Linked DNA regions of Elephas maximus indicus. The protein of the gene in region 1 interacts with the protein of each later gene in a biochemical or structural test. Links are inferred from orthologs where the notes say so. Each region holds a gene or a part of one and is shown on either strand. Other genes may lie near its edges. The genes, in order: ITGB2 and ICAM1.

Region 1 (10,891 bases):
TTTAATCCAACATACACAGAGGAGGGTTTGAGTTAATAAAAGAAGGGGGATTTTCACTAGACCCCAACCAGTCACACGTGTGCTATAAAAACCCTGCAAGAATTACCTACTTACCACAACTTACAGCATGGAGCATTTTGAGGGCCTTACACAAACCACCCACTGGGGACAGGAGGCCACAACCAGAAGGATTAAGAGGCACTTTGCAGGGAAAACCTCCTTTAGATCATAAAAAAGAATCTATGACCAGGCCCAATGGCTTCACAATTTTAATCAGGGACCAAAAGCTCAGGACGTGTGGCAGACTGTGAAAAGTACACTTCCGTCGCTCACCTGGTTCCTTCCCTTAGCAGGACACGTAGTTGTGATCTTTCCCCTCCTAATCTTTGTACCATGTTTGTTTAAACTCCTTGTTAAGTTCATTTCCTCAAAGCTTAAAAAATTCCACTTTCAAATAATGCTTCAACAAGGCTTCCATCCCACCAGAAGAAGCTGTAAGTAAATTTATGAAGGTCCCATCACTCCAGAACAACTGCCCTGTCCAGCTTGAAGAAGTTTCAGAAGAATGACCTTTGCCCCTATTCCCTTTAAGATTAAAGGGACCAGTATTAGAGGAGGGAATGAAGCAGGCAGTCATGAAACGGTTATTAACCATCCCATAATAGTTGTTTTTCAGAAAAGTCTACTCTTGCTACATTTTTGTTACAACTTTTACAGCACTTTACCACGATTACTCAAATCCCCAGGTTTCTTCTCTTCTCCCAGCAGGAAGTGGAGGCCCAGGAGCACTGACTTAGAATCTACCCGCTATATGACCTTCCTGGCGTGGCAGTTACAAGCTATTGCCATTTTTTTAGGTCTGTGCACAATATTTTTAGAGCCATGTGCAAAAACTCATTCACTAAAATTAGTGGACTGCACACACATCACAAGACTGAAGATCCTCTCCTTACTGCTTGTGCATATGTATGTCACTCCCTATAAAAGGAGCAAATCTGCCCCGGTTCAGGGAGCTGGCAGCCTTAGGTCATGAGACCCTGCCTATCTCCCAGTTTCCAAACCGTGAATAAACCTTTCTGTTCTTCCAACCCTGTGTCTGGCTGACTTCTATTCACTAGTCTGCTTGACAAGAACCTATTAGTTGACAGCTTCAAGTTGGAGTTTAAATAACTGGCCAGCCCTCCTCTCCCACTTCACAGGTGGGGAGGCGGTGTCCTGGGGAGGCTGGCTTCCTGCTGGTCTATGCAAACCCAGAGGGTGCAGACAGGAAGTTGGCAGGGCAGTTCCTCTGCAGAGTTCCCTGCAACCACAGTGGGCCTCAGGTTTCCCTTTCCTTTCCCCCACAGCAGCTCTTTCCATGGCATGCGTGACGCCCCTACCTGGTACATGTCCTGCGTTACATGCTACATTTGCAGCATTTAATTTGGGAGAACTTAGGGCAGGGATTCCTGCCCCACATTTCAGAGGAGACACCAGAGCTCAGGGGAGAGGCATCAGGTTGCCCAGCTCAGCTATGCCCTCAGGAAATACCTGGCTCCATCTATGGCGATTCACTTGTGCTGGGCAAGGCCCTGGGTTGGCAGTGCATCTCTCCTGCCAGTGCTGGTCCCCAGGATTTGTTTTCAGGCTAGAAACAGCAGTGGCGCGTCCTGAGCTGCAGACTCCCCTCCCTCGCCCCTCACTGTGCTGCCCTGCTGGAGGCCACAGCCCTGAGGCCTGGCATCCCCAGGGGACTTCCGGAGGGGGTGGGCATCTGACCATGTCTGCTCAGAATGTGGTGCCAGCGGGGTCCTGTGTGGTGACCTTGGCTAAAGATCTCAGCCTCTCGTCCCAGAAACACAGCCAGGACCTCCAAACCGTGGTTGCAGGGAGTGAGGTTGTGGTGAGGGGCCCCTTTAAAAAATGAAGCCGTTAGGTCGCTTCTCTATAAAGCTGCTGGGGTGACTGAGCTGCCCAGAAGCTTCTGAGCAGTTTTTTCTCATTAAGGCCCCAGCGCACAGCCTCCTTGCACTTGGACAGACGCCAGGACACGATCCAGGAGGGACATACTGGTGACGCATCCCATCTCCATTTTTCCCACCCCCCATCACAAGGCCCCACATTTCTCTACCAGGTATTCCGGGGCCAGAGGACAGGGTGCACTGCGCTCGAGCGTCTCAGAGCGTGCAGGGAGCCTGGCTGGGGACAGTAGTGGTGGATCCACCCCCAGTCTGGGGAGGAGAAAGAGGAAGGGCAAGGAAAAGAGTTGGCACCAGGATATGGGTGGTGAGAGGGAACGTAGGTGTGTATGGGGGCTGCCCCCAAGAAATTAGTGTCCAGGTGGGGCCCCAGGGGTGTGTCTTCCACCCTACGCTCTACCTCCAGGAGCCTTGTGCCAGGAGGGAGGTCAGGTCCATTTCTGAGCACTTTGCCTGAAACCATTTGGACCAAAATCACAGACCCAACATCAGTTCCCCTAAAACTCAATTTTCCTTGAGTGTTTTTACTTGAATCATCAGGCCAGTGGTCCTAAACTCACCCAGAACATGCATGCATGCACATGCATACCCTATACCACTCACGGTCACTCACACACACCACACAGACCACATGTAAATATTTACCACACAGACTACACACACACGCACACCATACAGACCACACATATTCACCACACAGACTACACACACGCACACCATACAGACCACACACACACCACACAGATCACACATAAATATTTACCACACAGGCTACACACACACACACCATACAGACCACACACACTGCACAGACTACACACACACACCGCACAGACTACACACACACACCGCACAGACCACGCACACATATTCACCACACAGACTACACAGACCACACATACATTCACCACACAGACCACACACACACGCACACCATACAGACCACACACACACCACACAGATCACACATAAATATTTACCACACGGACTACACACACACACACACACACACCATACAGACCACACACACACCACACTGACTACGCACACACACCCCGCACAGACCACGCACATGTATTCGCCACACAGACTACACAGACTACACAGACCACGCACATATATTCACCACACAGACTACATACACACACACCACACAGACCGCACACACATTCACCACATAGGCTACACACACACGCATACGACACAGACCACGCACATATTCACCACACGGACTGCACATACAACACCACACAGACCATACACACATATTCATCACACATACCACACATACACACAACACCACACAGCCCATACATACATATTCACCACACATACTACACACACACTGCACAGACCACACACACATATTCACCACACAGACTACACACACACATAAACCATATACGTACATTTACCACGCATACCACACATACATACACCACCACACAGACCATACACACTGTTTACCACACATACTACTCACACACAACACCACACAGAACATACACACATATTTACCACATATACCACACAGACCACACACACATATCCACCACGCATACTACCCATGCATGCAACACCACACACATATTCAGCACACATGCCACACACAACACCACACCCCACTCACACACATGCGTACACAACACGTGTGCAAACACCACACACAGACCACACACACAACACTTATAGTCACACGCCACACCTGCATACAACATACACACATACAACATACGTAATCCACATATACCATACTACAAACACACCACTCACAATCACACACACACCACGCATATACAAAATTCAAACAGTACATACACACACACCCCACAGGCCACACACACACTTACACACCCATCCACCACACATACTACACACACACAGTACCACACACATAACGCGTGTACAAACACCACATAGAGACCACACACACAACCCTTACAGTCATACACCACACACACATACAACACACATACTCCACACATACCATACTGCAAACATACCACTCACAATCACACACACACCATTCAGGCCACACACACTTACACACACATATTCACCGTGCATACTACACACACACAACACCACATACCAGTCACACACATGCCATACATACAACACAGGTACGAACACCACACACAGACCACACAGGCATTATAGTCACACCACACACGCATACAGCACATACATTCCACACATACCATTCTACAAACATAGCATTCACATCCACACACAGACCACCATATACATCACAAACACACAACACACACACACACAGTTGACATACCACACATATACACCACACACACACACACACAAACACACACACGCACTGCAGCAGAAGTGGTCTCACTTTCGACAGCCATCTTCTCTGCCTGAGGAGAGACAAGCAGGCAGGCTGGAAACACAGGATGTAAACACTGCTGTTTCCTTCAGAAGAAAACTCAGGAAATGTGCCAGCCAAACGCACCCTGGGCACCTACCATGGGCATCTGCTTCACAGACTCCATGCCCTCCCTCCTATGTGCCAAGAGTCTTGCTTACAAAGACCCCCTTTCCCAGAGCTCCGGGAACAGCTGAAGGGTCCCAGGCATGCTGCCCACTGCCATCTTCAGATACCTATCTGTACTAGAGCTTGACGCAGAGCTTTGGTTTGGAAACGTAAGTCATCACAGCTAGCAGTGGTGGGCTGAGGAGAGTGGGGGGATCTGTGAGGCAGGAACAGAACAGTACAGCTGGAGACTCCAGGGACGACTCCTGCACAGCCCAGTGGAAGCCACACACACACCAGCCTGGGGGTCTTTCCTGCTCCCATGAGCCTCCTGGCTCTGCTGGGCCTTGAAGCCCCCACATCCCTACTCCCACACCCCCTTGGCAGCTCAGGAAGTGTCTGTGGTGTGTTGAAAGACCTTAGACCCAGGCACCAGAGCCTGTCTTCTGTCTGGGTTCTCCCCGCTGTGCTGGGCCCCAGTTCCTGCTCAGTAAACTGAGGTCCCCAGCACCCTGGGTAGCCCTGCCTGTGGGCTTAGCATTTCCTCTCTCTGGGTCTCAGCTCTCTTTTGGTAAGAGGGGCCAGAGTGGACAATCCCAAGATCCTCCCTGGCCAGTGATGTAGACTGAGGCCACCAGGGTCCACTCCAAGGCTGGGGTCACTTGGAACTACTTTCCTTGAGAAAGGCAGCAGCTGATTCCTCATGGAAACGCCGCAGGACTAAGTATTTCCCCTTAAAAAAAAAAACAACAACAAGCAAACACAGAAACAGAGGCACAGTCCATCCACTCACCCCACTCATGTCCTAGATCCCTGGCACTGCGTGTCCTGGCTTGGTTGGGGCAGGTTGAGCTGTGATCTTCTCAGGCTGGTCCACTGTCACATCGGGGAAAAGACACTGCCCCTGATGCTTCCTGTTCTAAGTCGGGTGCCACAGAGGAAGTTGAACTACATGTGGTTGATTGCACCACACATTGGTGATAATCTCCATCTCCTCTCTGCTCTGCACCTGCTCCCAATGGAGGGAAGTCAGAGGAGCAACCATGCAAGACAGAATGGGACCTGCAACTCATGTGTACCTGCATAACAAGAAGTAGGTAAGAATATGAAGTGAGGGGCAATTTTGGGGGACAGGAGTCTATGGCAGCAGCAGGAGCCCAACTACTAAGGGACCAGCCTACCATAGAGGAGGTGGTTCATGCTCTGCAGGGGATGGGGAACCACAGGGAGCCATATGCAGGGGAATGACCCCATTGGGTTCTCATTCAGGGACAGGGGATCTGGCCAACAGACTGAGCACATAGGCAGGAGGAGAGTGTTCAAAGAAAAGAACTGTCAATCCAGAATTTTACATACAGCAAAAATATTCCTTGCTAACAAAGAGGAAATAGACATTTTTGGATAAAGGAAAACTAAGAAAATTGGTGGCCACAGACATGCTCTAAAGGAAATGCTAGGCAGAAGGGAAATTATCCCAGAGGGAAACTTAGAAATGAAGGAAGGGCAACAGAAATGGTAAATATTTAGATAAATATATATAGACTATTTTTTTTTAAGTTCTTTAAAATACATTGAAATCAAAAATCATAACATTGGTGGTAGAACTTTCACTCTGTGTGGAGGTAAGATATATAACAACTACAGCATAAAGGGAGGACAGTAAAGGAATTTATGTAATTGTAAAGCTTCTCTGCAAGTAGTAAAATAGTAAATAAGTAGACAACGAAGTGTTAACTATGTATATTATAATCCCTAGAACAACCACTAAAAAAAAAAACTATTCAAAGAGATACAGTCAAAAAGCTAATTGATAAATTAAAATGTGATACAAAAAAAATGCAAGTAATCCAAAAGAAAGCAGGAGAGGGGGGAACAGAGGAATAAAAAACAGAGGGGAAAAACAGAAAACAAACAAAAAAATGAAATAATAGACCTAAATCCAAGCATTTCAGTAATTACATTAAGTGTAAATGGTCTAAACACACAAATTACAAGACAGATATTGCCAAGTGGATTTTTAAAAAAGGACCCAAACACTTTAAATGTGATAACATAGGCAGGTCAAGAATACAAGGATGGTAAAAAAAATATACTGTACAAACACTAACTCAAAGAAAATTAGAATGACTATATTAATATCGGAACCCTGGTGGCGCAGTTGTTAAGAGCTTGACTGCTAACCAAATGTCAGCAGTTTGAATCGACCAGCTGCTCCTTGAAAACCCTATGGGGCAGTTCTACTCTATCCTGTAGGGTCACTACGAGTCGAAGTCGACTTGACAGCAATGGGCTTTTTTTTTTTTTTTTTTTTAATTAATATCAGACTAAGCAGACTTCACAACAAGGAAAATTGCCAGGTATGATAAAACCAAAACCAAATCCATGACCATTGAGTTGATTCCCATTCATAGCAACCCTATAAAACAGAGTAGAACTGCTCCATAGGGTTTGTAAGGAGCAGCTGGTGGGTTCAAACCGACAACCTTTTTGTTAGCAGCCGTAGCTCTTAACCACCGTGCCACCAGGGCTCCACTACAAAATGATAAGAGAGTTAACTCAGTAAGAAGGTATAACAATCCTAAATTTGCATACATCTAAACACAGAGTTTCAAAATACATGAAGACAAAGCTGAAAGATCTAAAAGAAGAAATAGGCAAGCCCACAGATATGGCTGGAGTAATCAATAAAAAAAGAAAAAAAAGCAGAAAATCAGCAAAGCGTATAGCAGACCTAAGCAACAGCATCAAACAATAAGACCTAAAAAAAAAAAAAAAAAATTATGGAACACTCCACCCAGCAACAGCAGCAGAATATACACTATTTTTAAATGCACAGGACACATTCCCCAAGATAGACAGTATCTTGGGTGTTATGGATTGAATCATGTCACAAAAAAAGATATGTTCAAGTCTTATCCTCTATACTTGTGAAACAGGGTCTTTACAGATACAATCAGTTAAGATTAGATTGCACTGGAGTAGGGTGAGCCCTAGTTGATATTATTGGTGTCCTTATAAGAGGAAGAGAAGAGACACAGACAGAGACACACAGAGGAAAGATGAGCATATGAAGATGGAGGCAGAGATAGGAATGATGAATCTACAAGCTAAGGATTGCCAGGAACCACCAGAAGCTGGAAGAGGCAAGGAAAGATTCTTCCCTAGAGCCTTCAGAGGAAATATGGCCCTGCAGACATCTTGATTTTGAACTTCTAGATTCTTGAACTGAGAGACAATAAATCTCTGTTGTTAAAGTTACCCACTTTGTGATACTTTGGTATGGCAGGCCTAGAAAACTAGTACACTGGATCATAAAATAAACCTTAACAAGTTTAAAAGAATGTGAATCATACAAAAATATGTTCTCTGTTCATAATTGAGTTAAACCAGAAAGATATTGGTGACATCTCTAACTAAAGAACACATTTCTAGTGGAAGCCTCAAGTGAAAATAGAAAATACTTTGAACAAAATGAAAATACAGCATATTAAATTTAGTGGAATGAAGCCAAAGCAGTGCCTAGAGGGAAATTTATAGTATTAAATTCATATATTAGAAAGACAACCATATGAATGAATCTGTAATGCATCCTGCTAAGTGAAAGAAGCTGTGAGGGAATACAGAGTCCAGCAAAACACAGAGAGAGGCTTCACAGACATGGGGGTTACATCAAACTACAACGAGAAGCGTGAGGTGTTGTTTAATGGGCACAGTGCTTCTGTTTGGGGTGATGCAAAAGTTTTGAAAATATTAGTGATAATTACACAACATGGTAAATGTACTTAATGCCACTGAATCATACACTTAAAAATGATTAAAATGGTAAATTTTGTTATGCATATTCTTAGTCATCTAGTGGTGCCATAACAGAAATACTGCAAGTGGATGGCTTTATCAAAGAGAAATTTATTTTCTTATAGTCTAGTAGGTTACAAGTTCAAATTCAGGGCGTTGGCTCTAGGAGAAGGCTTTCTTTCTGTCATCTCTGGAAGAAGGTCTTTGTCCTCAACCTTCGCATGGTTGAGGAGCTTCTCAGGCGCAGAGACCCCAGGCGCAAAGGACTCGCTGTGTTCCTGGTGCTGCTTTCTTGGTGGTGTGAGGTCCCCAACTCTCTGCTTGCTTCCCTTTCCTTTTATCTCTTGAGAGATAAAAGGTGTTGCAGGCTACACCCCAGGGAAAATTATTTTACATTGGATCAGGAATGTGGCCTGAACAAGGGTGTTACATCCCACCCTAAACCTCTTTAACCACAAACAGAGATTATGATTTATAATACATAGGAAAATCACAAAATGGAGGACAACCACACATGGCCTAACCAAGTTGACACATATTTTTGAGGGGACACAATTCAATCCATGACATATATTTTATACATTAAAAACAAAAACAAAAAGCAAAACTACGAGTTACCATTTTCCAACTATCATATGTGGAGGGCAATTGGTTTCATGACTGTCAGTGTCTAGCAGGTTGTTGTACTATGGGAGCTGGCATGTTGCTGTGATGCTGGAAGCTATGCCACTGGTATTTCAAATACCAGCATGGTCACCTATGGTGGATAGGTTTCAGCAGAGCTTCCAGACCAAGGCAGACTAAGAAGAAAGGCCTGGCAATCTACACTCAAAAATTAGCCAATGCTAATAAAAATATATATATATTTTTTTAATGTTATGGATCACAATGGAATATTGTCTGACTTGCTTGCTTTGGACATGTCATCAGGAGGATCAATTGCTACAGGAGGATATCACGTTTGTTGAAGCATAGGGCCAGCAAGGGTGAGGGAGCCCCTCGGTAAGACGGATTGGCACGAGAGCAGCAACGATGGACTTGAACATGCCAGTGATTGTGAGAATGATGCAGGACCAGGAAATGTTTTTGTTCTGTTGTACATAAGGTCATCATGAGTCTGAGCTGACAGCAGCTATCAATCTATTCTCAGCCGACCCATTTCCTGCTATCTACCATGAGGAGAAATTAAGTGTTTGTGGATCTTTATTGTGGCATCCTTTGTCTAAATAGTCATTTAAAAGCTCATGTAAAATATATGTCTATCAACAGGCAGATGGCTAAATAAACCATGGTGCCATTCTATGGAACACTATTGAGTAGATGGAAAAAAATGGGGACAGGTGTTTGAGCCGGCAGCAGTCCTTAAAGATGCTGTTAAGCAAAACAAAGTCAGCTGCAGAGCAATAAACACAAGACGGTACCATTCATACTGTGAAAAGGTTAAGCACGCATTATAGTGGTTATGTTTCTCAAAATGGATAGAGAGATGTCTGAGAAGATACAGACACATGACAATATGGGTCACTGCTCCAGAGCAGACTGAGAGTTGCTCGCGGGTGAGAAGGGTGGTTAAGAGACCTTGCTCTATGCACATCTGAATCTTTTGGAAAGAGGATGTACTTATGCGTTTCTTTCACCGTGTCAAGAAAAAGATCATTCTGGCAGATACAGATGGGGGCATCATTATGGATTGAATTGTGTCCCCAAAAAGATGTGTGGAAGTTCTAATCCTCTGTGAACGTGACCTTGTTTGGAAATAGGGTCTTTGAAGATGTCACCATTTAACAAGCAGTCATATTGAAGAAGAATGGGCCCTAATCCTATATGACTTTTATCCTTATAAAATTGGAGAAAATACAGAGAGACAAGGAGACAGAGGAAGGGTGCCACGTAACGCTGCAGCTGCAAGTCAAGAACACCTAGGATTACAGTAACCCGACCCTACAAATGCAAAGGATGCAGCAACAGGTGGACCGAATCAGAAGGAAAATCATCACCCAGACCCTATTTCGAAGGAGAGGTCTGACAAGAAGCATGTCACCTCCTGTTTCCTAGATGCCTTCTAGAGTTTCCCCTCCCCAGAACACCTGCGTGGCCACCATCTTGCTGCCAAAATCATATGTAAGCCCTGCCTACCCATAGCTCGGGGAGCCAGATCTGAGGAACCTCCTCCTGGCTCCTTGCTCTGGGCATTGCAATAGTTACTTTCTCTTTCTCAAAGATCGGTGTCCAGATAATTGGCAAGTCTGAGTGCCCTGGACAAGGACCCACCTTCCCGGGTTCAGTAACAATTTTGGTGCCCAACGTGGGGCCAGAGGGTCACACAGACCCTTTGTCCGGAGCCCGGCACTCCCTCAACTGTAAACGGAACCTCCACTGACCCTTGGTGTACACCGAACCTCTTGTTCAGGAGGATCAGGTAGGTCTCCTCACCAGGACTGAGGTGGTGACCAGCCTAAGGTGATTTTACTTTGAGAATTAGACACTAACTCACGTATAGACGTCCACTAGGTAAGAGCCCCAGGAATTTCTCTTGTTAAGTGTAAGTGCTTGGAATTGGAGTTGCGGAGGCACGTGGAGGATTGAAATAGGCCTAAGATATCCCCGTTAGGGGACAAAGAGACTCTGCTAAGATCATCCTTGTTAC
Region 2 (11,354 bases), on another chromosome or scaffold:
GAGCACCTGGTGGGTTAGAACCATCGACCTTTTGGTTACCAGTGGTAGCGCTTCACCACTATGCCCCCAGGGTTTCCGTAGAGAACAAAGCATTTGCCAATTCAACAATTTTTACATGTACAATTCAGTGACACTGTTTACGTTCATCAACTTGTGCAACCTTGGCTACTACCCTTTTCCCAATGATTCCATCACCATTAACAGAAACTCAATGTCCCCTAAGCAATGACAACCCCTCCCATCCACCCCCGGTAACTACTAATAAGCTTTGGTCTCTTTGCATTTGCCTTTTTCATGTATATGGAATCATATGGTATTTGTCCTTTCGTGGCTGGCTTATTTTACACAGCATAACCCCTGTTCTTCCTGGGATCACCTCCCAGATAAACAATCTGCAGTCTCAGCCTTGTCTCAGGGTCTGCTTTGGGGGGGAAACGTAAGCTAAAACACAGCCGGTAAGTAAAAAAGCCTAGATTCAAACCCCAACCTGATCAAATCTCGTGTGCCAAACCCCGTTTCATTCCAACCCTGCCTCCCAACCCATCCTTTGGGTGCCTGTTACAGATCGAATTGTGTCCCCCAAAAATGTGCGTCAACTTGGCTAGGCCATGATTCCTAGTATTGTATGGTTGTCCTCCATTTTATGATCTGATGTAATCTTCCTATGTGTTGTAAATCCTTATCTCTGCCTGTGCTTAATGAGGCAACATTAAGTTATGTTAAAGAGGATTAGGGCAGGATGCAACACCCTTACGCAGGTCACAGCCCTGATCCAAAGTAAGGGGAGTTTCCCAGGGGTGTGGCCTGCATCACCTTTTATTTATGAGAGATAAAAGGAGACAGAAGCCAGCAGAGAAAGAGGGACCTCCTACCAGCAAGAAAGAAAAGCGGGGAGTGGAGCGTGTTTTTGAATTCAGGGTCCCTGCGCTGAGAAACCCCTAGACCCAGGGGAAGGTTTGATGACAACTTTCCCACAGAGCCAACAGAGAGAGAAAGTCTTCCCCTGGAGTTGGCACCCTGAATTTGGACTTCTAGCCTCCTAAACTGCAAGAGAATAAATTTCTGTTTTTTTAAAAAGCCATCCACTTGCGGTATTTCTGTTATAGCAGCACTAAAAAAAAAAAAAAAAAGATAACTAAAACAGGGCCTTTGGTAAAAGCAGTGGGAAGGGAATTCCAGGCTGGAGGAACAGCATGTACAGAATGCTCAGAAGCAAGAGAAGTTAATTCATTCAACAAATATGTATCGATCCCGTCTGCAGAGGCCAGCCACTGAGCCGGTGCTGGGGCTGACAGGCTCCCTCCCCTCCTGAGGATCACAGAAATGGAGGCAATAGACAATCAGGTAAATCTAAGGGACTTCAGCAAGTAATGAGTTCATAATGAAAACAAATTAAAAAAAAGTGAAAAGGAATGACCAGGGTACGGCCGAGGATGGGGGAGAATCCAGGAAGGTTCGAGCCACGGAAGGGAGGGGCTGGCCACGTCACAGATGAGAGGAAGATCATTCAAGGCTGAGGGAATTCCAAGGCCATCACACCAGAGTTCAGTGTGGGGAGGACAGGCGTAAGGCCTTAGAGGGCTTCAGATGCTTCTGCTCAGTGTTTTTAGCCTCTGTTCTGCCGTGGGTCATTTTCTTGCCCTGCCCAAGACTGTCTGACACCCTCTAGGAAGCCCAACCCTTCCTGACAGCAGCAGAGTGCTGAGGAAATCAGCTTCCCTCTTCCTCAGGGAAATGTAAATGGGGGTGCACGCTCCCCTTGCCAGCCTGCCCCCCAAGACTACCTCATCCCCATGTCAGGAAATGGCCCTCCCTCCTCCCAGGAGCTCAGACCCGGACCAAGGAGCTGACCTTGAGTCTGCCCCACCCGCCATGTCCCAGCACGTCCAGTTGCCCGTCTCCAAAATGGATGCAGAATCAGACCACTTCTCCACCACCACGGCCCAGTTCAGGCCCCCATCAACACTTGCCTGGACTAGAGCTGTCGCCTCCTCTCTGGTCTCCCCTGGTTTCCTCCCTGTCCCTCCCACCCCCTGATGGTAACTTTTAAAATGGCCAGAGGGTACTTGTGAACACTTGAGCCAGGGCATGTCCCTCGTCTGCTCAGAACCCTCCATGGCACCCACCTTATTCAGAGTAAAAGCCAAAGTCCTCCAGGCCGCACACAATCCACGCCCCTCCCCGCCCCCCCCCCCGCCCCATCACCTCCCAGCTCTTGCCTCCTCCCCTGGCTCTCGCCTCCTCCCCTAGTCCCCATCCTTCACTGCTGTAGCATCACCGGCCTCCTCACTGTCCTTGGCTCCAGCTCACTCTAGGGCCTTGTTCCCGCTGCCTAGTGCATTCTTCCCCCAGAGGATGGCATGGCTCCCTCCTCACCTTTGCTCAAAGGTCACCTTCTCAGTGATTCTTTCCCAGATTACTCTATTTAAAATTTCTTTAAACCTCACATTTCCAATCCCCTCCCCCATCTTATGGAGCCCTGGTGGCCTAGTGGTTAAGAGCTCGGCTGCTAACCAAAAGATCCACGAACTTTATGTTTCTCCTTAGCACCAATCACCAACTAACACTCTCTGTATTTTATTTTTGTTTCTTGTCTATCATCTCCACTTGGATGATCCCTGCATGATGGCAGGGGTTTTCGTCCATTTCATCTACTGCTCTGTCCTCAGCACCTGGAACCACGCCTAGTACACAGTACCTACAAGCAACCCCATTGCCATCTAATTGATTCTGACTCATAGTGACTCGACAGGACAGAACAGAACTGCCCCATAGAGTTTCCAAGGCTGTAATCTTTACGGGTGAACTTCAACCAAGTCTTTTTGGTACAGTAACTCTGTGTATTCCTTCCATCTTCTTTTGATGCTCCCTGCCTTGTTCAGTATTTTGCCCATAGAATCCTTCACTATCGCAACTTGAGGCTTGAATTTTTTCTTCAGTTCTTTCAGCTTGAGAAATGCTGAGCATGTTCTCTCCTTTTGGTTTGCTAACTCCGGATCTTTGCACATGTCATTATAATACTTTACTTTGTCTTCTCGAGCCGCCCTTTGAAATCTTCAGTTCTTTTACTTCATCATTTCTTCCATTCACTTTACAGTTCAAGAGTAACTTTCAGATGCTCTTCCGACACCCGTTTTTGTCTTTTCTTTCTTTCCTGTCTTTCAGGAAGTAGGATATGATCAAGAACTGATGGTACTGAAGGAAGAAGTCCAAGCCGCAGGGAAGGCATTAGGAAAAAACAAGTTTCCAGGAATTAATGAAATACAAGTTCAGATGTTTCAACAAATGGATGCAATACTGGAAGTGCTCACTCATCCATGCCAAGAAATTTGGCCAACCAACTGGAAGAGATTCATGTTTGTGCCCATTCGAAAGAAAGATGATCCAACAGAATGAGGAAATTATCGAACAATTTCAGTAATATCACATGCAAATAAAATTTCACTGAAGATAATTCAAAAACAGTTGCAGCAGTACATTGACAGGGAACTGCCAGAAATTCAAGCCAGATTCAGAAGAGGGCATGGAATGAGGGATATCGTTGCTGATGTCCGATGGATCTTAGCTGAAAGCAAAGAACACCAGAAAGATGTTTACTTGTGTTTTATTGACTATGCAAAGACATTTGACTGTGTGGATCATAAATTATGGATAACATTGTGAGTATTGGGAATTGCAGAACACTTAATTGTGCTCATGAGGAACCTGTACTTAGACCAAGAGGCAGTTGTTTGAACAGAAAAGGGGATACCGTGTGGTTTAAATTTAAGAAAGGTGTGCATCAGGGTTGTACCCTTTCACCATACTTATTCAGTCTGTATGCTGGGCAAATAAACTGAGAAGCTGGGCTATACCAAGAAGAACGAGGCATCAGGATTGGAGGAAGACTTCTTAACAGCCCATGATATGGAGGTAACACAACCTTGCTTACTAAAAGCTAAGAGGACTTGAAATACTGATAAAGATCAAAGACTACAGCCTTCAGTACCGATTACACCTCAATATAAAGAAAATAAAAATCCTCACAACTGGACCAATAAGCAACATCATGATAAAAGGAGAAATTATGGAAGTTCTCAAGGATTTCATTTTACTTGGATCCACAATCAACGGCCATGGAAGCAGCAGTCAAGAAACAGCGTATTGCATTGGGCAAATCTGCTGCACAAGACTTCTTTAAAGTCTTCAAAAGCAAAGATGTCACTTTGAAGGCTAAGCCAGACAATGAAAACGGAAGACTGAAGAAAAATTGATGCGTTTGAATTATGCTGTTGGTAAAGAACATTGACTATACAGCTAGAACAACAAACAAATCTGTCTTGGAACAAGTACAGCCAGAATGCTCCTTAGAAGCCAGGTGTGGTGAGACTTGTTTTTGGACATGTTATCAGGAGGGACCAGGCCCTGAAGAAGAACATCAAGCTTGGTGAAGTAGAAGGTCAGTGAAAGAGAGAAAGACCCTCAATGAGATGGACTGACACAGTGGCTGCAACAGTGGGCTCAAACATAGCAACACTGTGAGGATGGGGCAGTGTTTCTGTTGTCCATAGGATCGCTGAGTCCGGAGGACTCCACGGCACCCAACAACGACTGCCACATCTTTCTCCCGCCGAGCGGCTAGTGAGTTTGATCCGGCGACCATTCGGCTAGCAGCCCAGCGCTTAACCACTGCGCCACCAGGGCTCCTTTAGTACGCGGTAGGCGCTCAATAGACACTGTTGGGAAAGAAAAGGACATTTTTGTGGCTGCAAGTGGGACTTGAGCCTCGAGGGGGCGCTCGCCGCCCGCGCGCTTCGGGCCAGGACGAGCCCCTGGAGAGGAGAGAGGAAAGTCCGCCAAAAAATAACCCCGCGGCGCAGGATTTTCCCAGACCTTCGAAGGCGCGGGGACATCCCAGGTACCCCCTTCCCCTTTGCCCAGGCCGTTACAGGGCGGGGATTCAGCACTCCCAAACCCTCAACCAGAAAGATCCCAGTGGAAATTCCTTAGGAACAACTGGTGCGAAGGAGGGGCGCATTTCTAGACGGCGAATGAGTCTCAGCCCCCTCCCTTCCCCTTCTGCTGCGCGACCTCCCTGGCCTCTCCGATGTCTCCATGGCGACGCCGCGCTTGCCCCACAACAGGAAACCTCAGGCGGCGCTGCTCAGCGCTGGGAGCCTCCCCCCTCCCCAGCCTGGACGCGGTAGACGCCAGGCACTGGGGTCACACGGGCAGGCGTGGCCGAAGGGGTGACTCCCCGCTTCCGAGACTAGGTCCCCGACCCCTATAGACATCACCTCCTTTCCAAAACGTCCTACTGGCGCCAGCCCAGGCAAACACTGGAACATATTTAGTGCAGACGTCGGTGTTTAGCCGTGCGCAGGGGGCGGGGTTTGAGCGCTCCTTACTCCGGACCCACGTGGGGCTAGGGGGCTGCCTCAGATTCCCTGCCTAAGGCAAGGGCTCGAGCGCCCCCTCTCTCCTCCTCTGTGGAGGCCTGAGCTGCTGCCTGAGTTTCCCTGCGGAGCCTGGGGCGGGGATGGAGGGCTCAGTGCGTAAAGCCCACGCGGCTTCCTTCCTTCTTCTGGGAACTGTAAAGATGCCGCCGCGAACGAGCCGAAAGGGGAAGCGAGGCCGTTGGTGTGGGAGTACCAATGGGGGAACGCCGACCCCCCCCTCCGGGCGCGATGGCTTCACGAACCCACCACCCCTGGGATTCTCAGAGCCTCGAGGTGCCTGGGCCTGCTGCGGCCACTTGTCGCGAAATCTCGGTGTCAGCTGGGACGGGAGGCCCAGACATGCCCTTGGGAGGGGCACCCTTGAATGGACAGCGCCTAAGGAAGATTCCTGGACACCTATCCACGTCCCTTCCTGTGCTCATCCGCTCGGTTAAAGCGCGAGCTGGCGAGTTAGACCTGGTTCGAATCCCTTCTAAGCTCAGCGCCTCAGTTTACCCATTTGTAAGACGGAGACAGTAACAGTCCCTACATTCCAGCATGGTTGGAAGTATTTGATAAAGAGCTTAGCGCGGTGTAAACGCCGCATTCAGGTTAGCCCGACTGGGGGAACAGGACCCCTGGAGGCCGGGGCAGCTCCCAGTCCACCATCCCGCCATCCCTCCGCCGCCGCCCTAATCTCTTTAGCTTGGAAGTTCGGGCGCTTGATGGCCAGCAGGGAGGACGACCCAGCTCGGGCTGGGTACCCTCTCAATCCGGAAATTCCTGAGCCCTAGGTCGGGAGGAGAAAGCGCGAGGTTTCCGGGAAGGCAGCACCGCCCCCTGAGCCCCAGCAGCCGGGCACTATAAAGGGCCGGGCGCGCTGCCTCGCTCCTCAGTCCGCGCAGCGCACCCAGCGCCTAGGTGTTGTCCTCTCTGCCTCTCTCGCCCGCTATGGCTCCCTGTGGCGCCTGGCCCTCGCTGGCGGTGCTCCTGTCCCTGTTTGCGGCTCTGCTCCCAGGTGAGTCGGGGTATAGAGTAACCGTCGGACCAGCTCCGGGGATCTGGGCTGCGCCCTGGGCGCGGTGGGAGGACCGGCTCCCGGCCGTTCCTACTCAGATAGCGGGTTTATAGAAGGATGGGGTGCCTGAAAACCATTTCTGGAGGGCTAGAGTCACCGAGAGAAAGTCAACAGTGAGTTCAAATGCGGACCTCCTTCACCTCCGTGTGTGTGACCTTAGGCTGTAGCTGCGCCTCTCTGAAGGCTCAGTTTTCTCACCATCAAATGGGGAAGATTCTAGCGGCCACGTCGCAGGCTTTGTGCCTGACCGAGCAGAGCGCCTGGGTCCAGGAGGCCACCAGATCGAAATGGGGACGTGGCCAGACCCAAGCTGAGTAGGGTCGGGGACCCCCCCTTATCCCCCACACACATTCTGTTCCTCATCCCCTGCCCCGGGGAAGTCCAGGGTTGTTTCTGCACAGGGGAATTCCAGGGCTGACTTGCCCAGGGGCCAGAGCTGAGACACCAAGGAGCTCCTGCGGCCCGTCCCCGCCCCCCCCCATTTCAGCCCCATAGGGAGGGTGGGCGGAAATGCAGTCAGAGGGCCTCAAATGGTGATGGTGCTGGGCAGCAGGAGAGTGGCAGGTTGACGCCTTGGTTACCAGCTTGATTCTGGAGCCTGTCAGGTAAAGGGTTGAATCGGGACTCTAAGGCTTTCTAGCTGAGTAACTTCCTCTCTCTAAGCCTCACTGGTTCTCTCCCTGAAATGGGAATGAACTCAGAATCTCCCTCGGAGGATTTCTGGAGCCACTGCTCTCACAGGCCTCCAGCCCTGATAAGACAGGCCCAAGGCTTTGAGGGAACCACTGGAGCAAGGGCAGGGATGTGGGGGTAGCCTCAGATATTTTTTCAGATATGAAGTGGACAGGGTCTGTGGACAACACCCCTCCTTCTTACCCACAGCCCCTTGCTTCCTGCCCTGTGTAGGAGTTACTTGCATTAGCATGGGGTGGGGTGACAATACTCACCTATCTTACAGATAGGGAAATTGAGGCCCAGAGAGGGGAGATCACTGGCCAAAGGAGTGAGGAGCCAGCCCAATTTGAACTGCCCTTTGTTGGACTTTGTTTCTGTTGTTTACCTCATTCCATCTTGGCCTAGCCCATCTCTTTCCTGGAGGGATGGCCCCTTCCTCCTGACCTCTTGAGAGGGAGGAGGGCACTGACTGCTTGTCCCTTCTCTGCTAAAATTCTCACAAAATCTCCCTCAGAATAAAGAATACATCCTGAGGGCAGCCTGCACTGCCCACGTGATCTTCCGGACCTCATTTCTGCTCAGTCTTCCCCTTTGCTTGCTATGGTGCAGCCACCCTGCCTCAGGGCCTTTGCACTTGAAGTTGCCTTTGCCTGGAATTCACACCGCTTTTCCTTGGATGGAGCCCTGATGGGTCAGTGGTTAAGAGCTACAGCTGCTAACCATAAAGGTGGGTGGTTCGAATCTACCAGGAGCCCCTTGGAAACCCTATGGGGCAGTTCTACTCTGTCCTGTATAGTCGCTATGACTCAGCGGCAGTGGATTTTTTTTTTTCCCTTGGATGGTCAGCTCCTTATTATGCAGATCTCTGCTCACTATGTCACAAAGGCACTGTCTGTTCTATTGCCCTGTTGTGTTTGTATCAAAGCTCTTATAACATCAGAAATTAGCTTGTTTGCTCACAGATTTTTCTCTCTCACACTGAAGGCAAGGAGTTTTGTTCATGGCTGTGTCCCCAGCACCCAGCACATGGTGGGCACACAGTAGGCCCCTTCATGCCTAATGCCAGCCCCCTCCTCAGAGTCAAGCAACCCTTTCGTTCCAGGGTCTGGAGGTGCCCAAGTATCAGTGCATCCCCTAGAAGCCATCGTGCACCAAGGAGGCTCCGTGGTAGTGAATTGCAGTGCCACCTGTAACCAATCCAACTTAGAAGTGGGCCTGGAGACAGTGTTCAACAAGAAGCTAGTTTCTGAGGGGGCCAGCTGGAAGGTCTTTGAACTGAGTGATGTGCAAGAAGACAGTAGCGGGCTATGCTATGCAACCTGTGGCGATACACCTGAGCAGGAAACAGCTACAATTTCCATCACCATGTATGGTAAGTGGCTGGCCCCAGGGGCTGGACTGGGCAGACTGGGGAGGGGGTGGACAAAGGCTGCTTGGTTGCTTGGTGGTGGTGCTGGGGAGGGTATCACTGAAGAGTGAATGCAGAAATCCTTGGAAAGTCCCAGTGTCATTCAGAAGCCCCTCTGAACCTCGAGTGTACGTAGGACATCAGGGATTCGGCACACTTAAGAGAACTGGCTCTCAGTGGCTCACTCTTGAAGCACATACATGGCAAGGCCCTGGGTCTGCTTCTTAAAAAGAAGATGCAAATGAAAACTCCCCCTCAGATGGCATTTTTCACATATTGGGAAACATTGGAAGAGGTGATCGCAGCTGTGCTGGCCAGGCTGTGGGAGAGCAGGCACCCCTGGGACATTGCTAGTGGGAGTAGGAAGAAGCACATCTCCGTGAAGGGAGATTTGGTGTCAGTTCTCAAAATAACACACGCACGTGCCCTTCGACTCAGAAACCCCGCCCTTGAGAATTTGTCCTACAGGTGTCCTAGCCCTCGAGGGGGCTGGTGGGAGGAAGAGATTGTCCACTGCCGCTTTGTTTGGAAGGGGAACAGTTTGCAAACCATGCACATCTAGGGGCCGTGGAAATCATCTGTGGTTTGGCCATGCCGTGGAATAGTATGCAGCCGTATAAAAGAACGGTCGTCATGAGTCGGAATTGACTTGACGGCAATGGGTTTGGTTTTTGGTTGAAGGTATGCCCAGTGTGAGTGGAATGCTGCCCTCTGTTAAGGAGCGAGGGGGTAGGCTGTGTTCATCCATGAAAGAGTCCTGAACAGAAATGTAAGAAATGGAACAATATTAGTTGGCTGTGAGAAAAGAAGACAGGGGGCTGGGAAGAGGGGAGGGGGCGCCCTTTTCTACATTGGGGATTTTGAACTGTGAGAATGAGTTACCAAAGGCAAAATAAATAGATATTATTCAAATTTAAAAAAATAAAAAAGAAGAGAAAGGGAGGGAGGGAACAGACCTTGAAATTAGACAGCCTTGGGTTGTCACTAGCTGGGTGACGATGGGCAAACGGTTTCTCGGTTTCCTTCTCCGCCACATGAGACCTCTTCGAAGGGGTATAACAATGTAGTGAGGCGCAAAGGTGCTCCACAGTCCTGGCGTCTGGGCAGAGGAAGCCTTTAGGCCAATATTGGATTTGCTTCTGACTCAGGGGTGTTTGAGCAGATGCTGGTCACCCTCCCAGCAAGGGAAGTCCCCAGACATTCCTGGTGGCCTCTGAAAACCCTCTTGGTGAGCTAGGAAACCTTCTAGAAGGCCTCAAACAAAGAGTGTGGTGATTGAGATCCCACACTCTGGGTTTGAGTCCTGGCTGTCCCACCTTTCTTCCTCAGTGACTGTGTTCATGACCTTGCCTTAGTTTCCTCCTCTGTGAAGTGGAGCAGATGGCTGGCATGCAGTAGCAAGGGAGTCAAAGGTGAATGGGGCCACCTGGGTGTAAAGATGAGGGCACAACGGTTAAGCACTTGGCTGGCTAACCAAAAAGTTTGCAGTTCTGACCCACCCAGCGGCTCTCCGGGAGAAAGACCTGGTGATAGGCTCGCATAAAGATTCCAGTCGAGGAAACCCTGTGGGGCAGCTCTAGTCTGTCACATGGGGTCCTGCACCTAATAACAACAACAACAAGGCTGTTTAAGGTCAACCTACTTATAACAATAATTAGAAATGATTTAAAAAATCAACAACTAACCATGAGGGAACATTCCTGGAGGGCTGAGGCATCGCCCTAAATGTTAGAGGTGTCATTCCTGGAGGAGGCGACCCCTATCTGAGCCCTTGAAGGATGTGTACGAGTTGGTAAAGACAGGCATTCTGGATAGAGGGAATGGGCTAGCGTGAGGGGGAAAAAAAAGATCTAGAGTAAGGAAACATCCTCATTGGTGGGGAGGGAGAGAATCTGTTGAACCTAAGCAGGGTGGCTGGAGGTTGGCAGGGCCTTGAATGCCAGGGCAAGGAGCTGGGACCTTCTCCTTCCCTGGGCACTGGAGAGCCATGGAGAGTGTGTGAACAGGCCAAGGATATAGAAAACAGAAGTCTGGACTTCTGGGAGGCCAGGGAGAAGTTGGCCGTGAGCCTTGTCCAGGCCATGTGCAGGAAGGGAGGGGCAGACAAATATTTGAAGAATGGAGTCAAATGACTTGGTGAAGGACCAAAGATGGAGACAGGAGAAAAGGGAAAATCAGAATCGGCCCTTCTCCCTTCCCTGGTTCCCAGCCCAGGTCTTCAAGGCAAGGAGCTGGGCTCAGGAAGCTGTTGGATTCCATTTGGGGGCTGAGGTTTGAGCAGGCTGTTAGAGATAAGAACCAGACGTCTGGGAGTTTTCTCAGCCCTTTTTTTTTAAACAGCTCTATTTATATATAATTTACATACCATAACGTTCACCTATTTCAAGTGTACACTTAAATGAATTTTAGTGGTGTACCCCAAGCTGACAAGCAGCACCACAGTCTGATTTTGGAACGTTTCCCATCACCCCAAGAAGAAACCTCCTGCCCATTTATAGTCATTCTCTCAACCTCCTAAGTGGGTTCAGAACAGTCCTACCTCTAATAGGCCCATTTTGCAGCTCAGGAAACAGGCTCAGGCACTGTCAATTGCCTGCAGCCTACATTAAAGAATCAGCAAGGCTGGGACCAAACCCAGGCCCGTCTGGCTCCTGACATTTTAGCAGCAATGTGTTAGCATTTCAGGGCCTCTCAGAAAGGAAATACGGAGTAGGACTCCTTGAGACCCCTCCCTAGGGAACCTGGAGGTCTTAGCTGTGGCTCTGCAGGGTTCTGT

Evidence for each region.
Region 2: the proteins of ITGB2 (region 1) and ICAM1 form a complex in vitro, tested with the Homo sapiens proteins (4 studies listed by BioGRID). The link is inferred for Elephas maximus indicus from reciprocal best matches to the Homo sapiens genes ITGB2 and ICAM1.

Annotation. Positions count from the first base shown.
Region 1 is NC_064820.1:229,365,811-229,376,701, forward strand, and holds the start of ITGB2 (integrin beta-2), read right to left. Parts: upstream 5,361-10,891; 5' UTR 5,252-5,360; coding exon 5,243-5,251; intron 1-5,242.
Region 2 is NC_064821.1:28,383,214-28,394,567, forward strand, and holds the start of ICAM1 (intercellular adhesion molecule 1), read left to right. Parts: upstream 1-6,309; 5' UTR 6,310-6,368; coding exon 6,369-6,435; intron 6,436-7,779; exon of another isoform or gene 7,780-7,857; coding exon of another isoform or gene 7,858-7,897; intron 7,898-8,272; coding exon 8,273-8,542; intron 8,543-11,354. UniProt on the Homo sapiens protein: ICAM proteins are ligands for the leukocyte adhesion protein LFA-1 (integrin alpha-L/beta-2).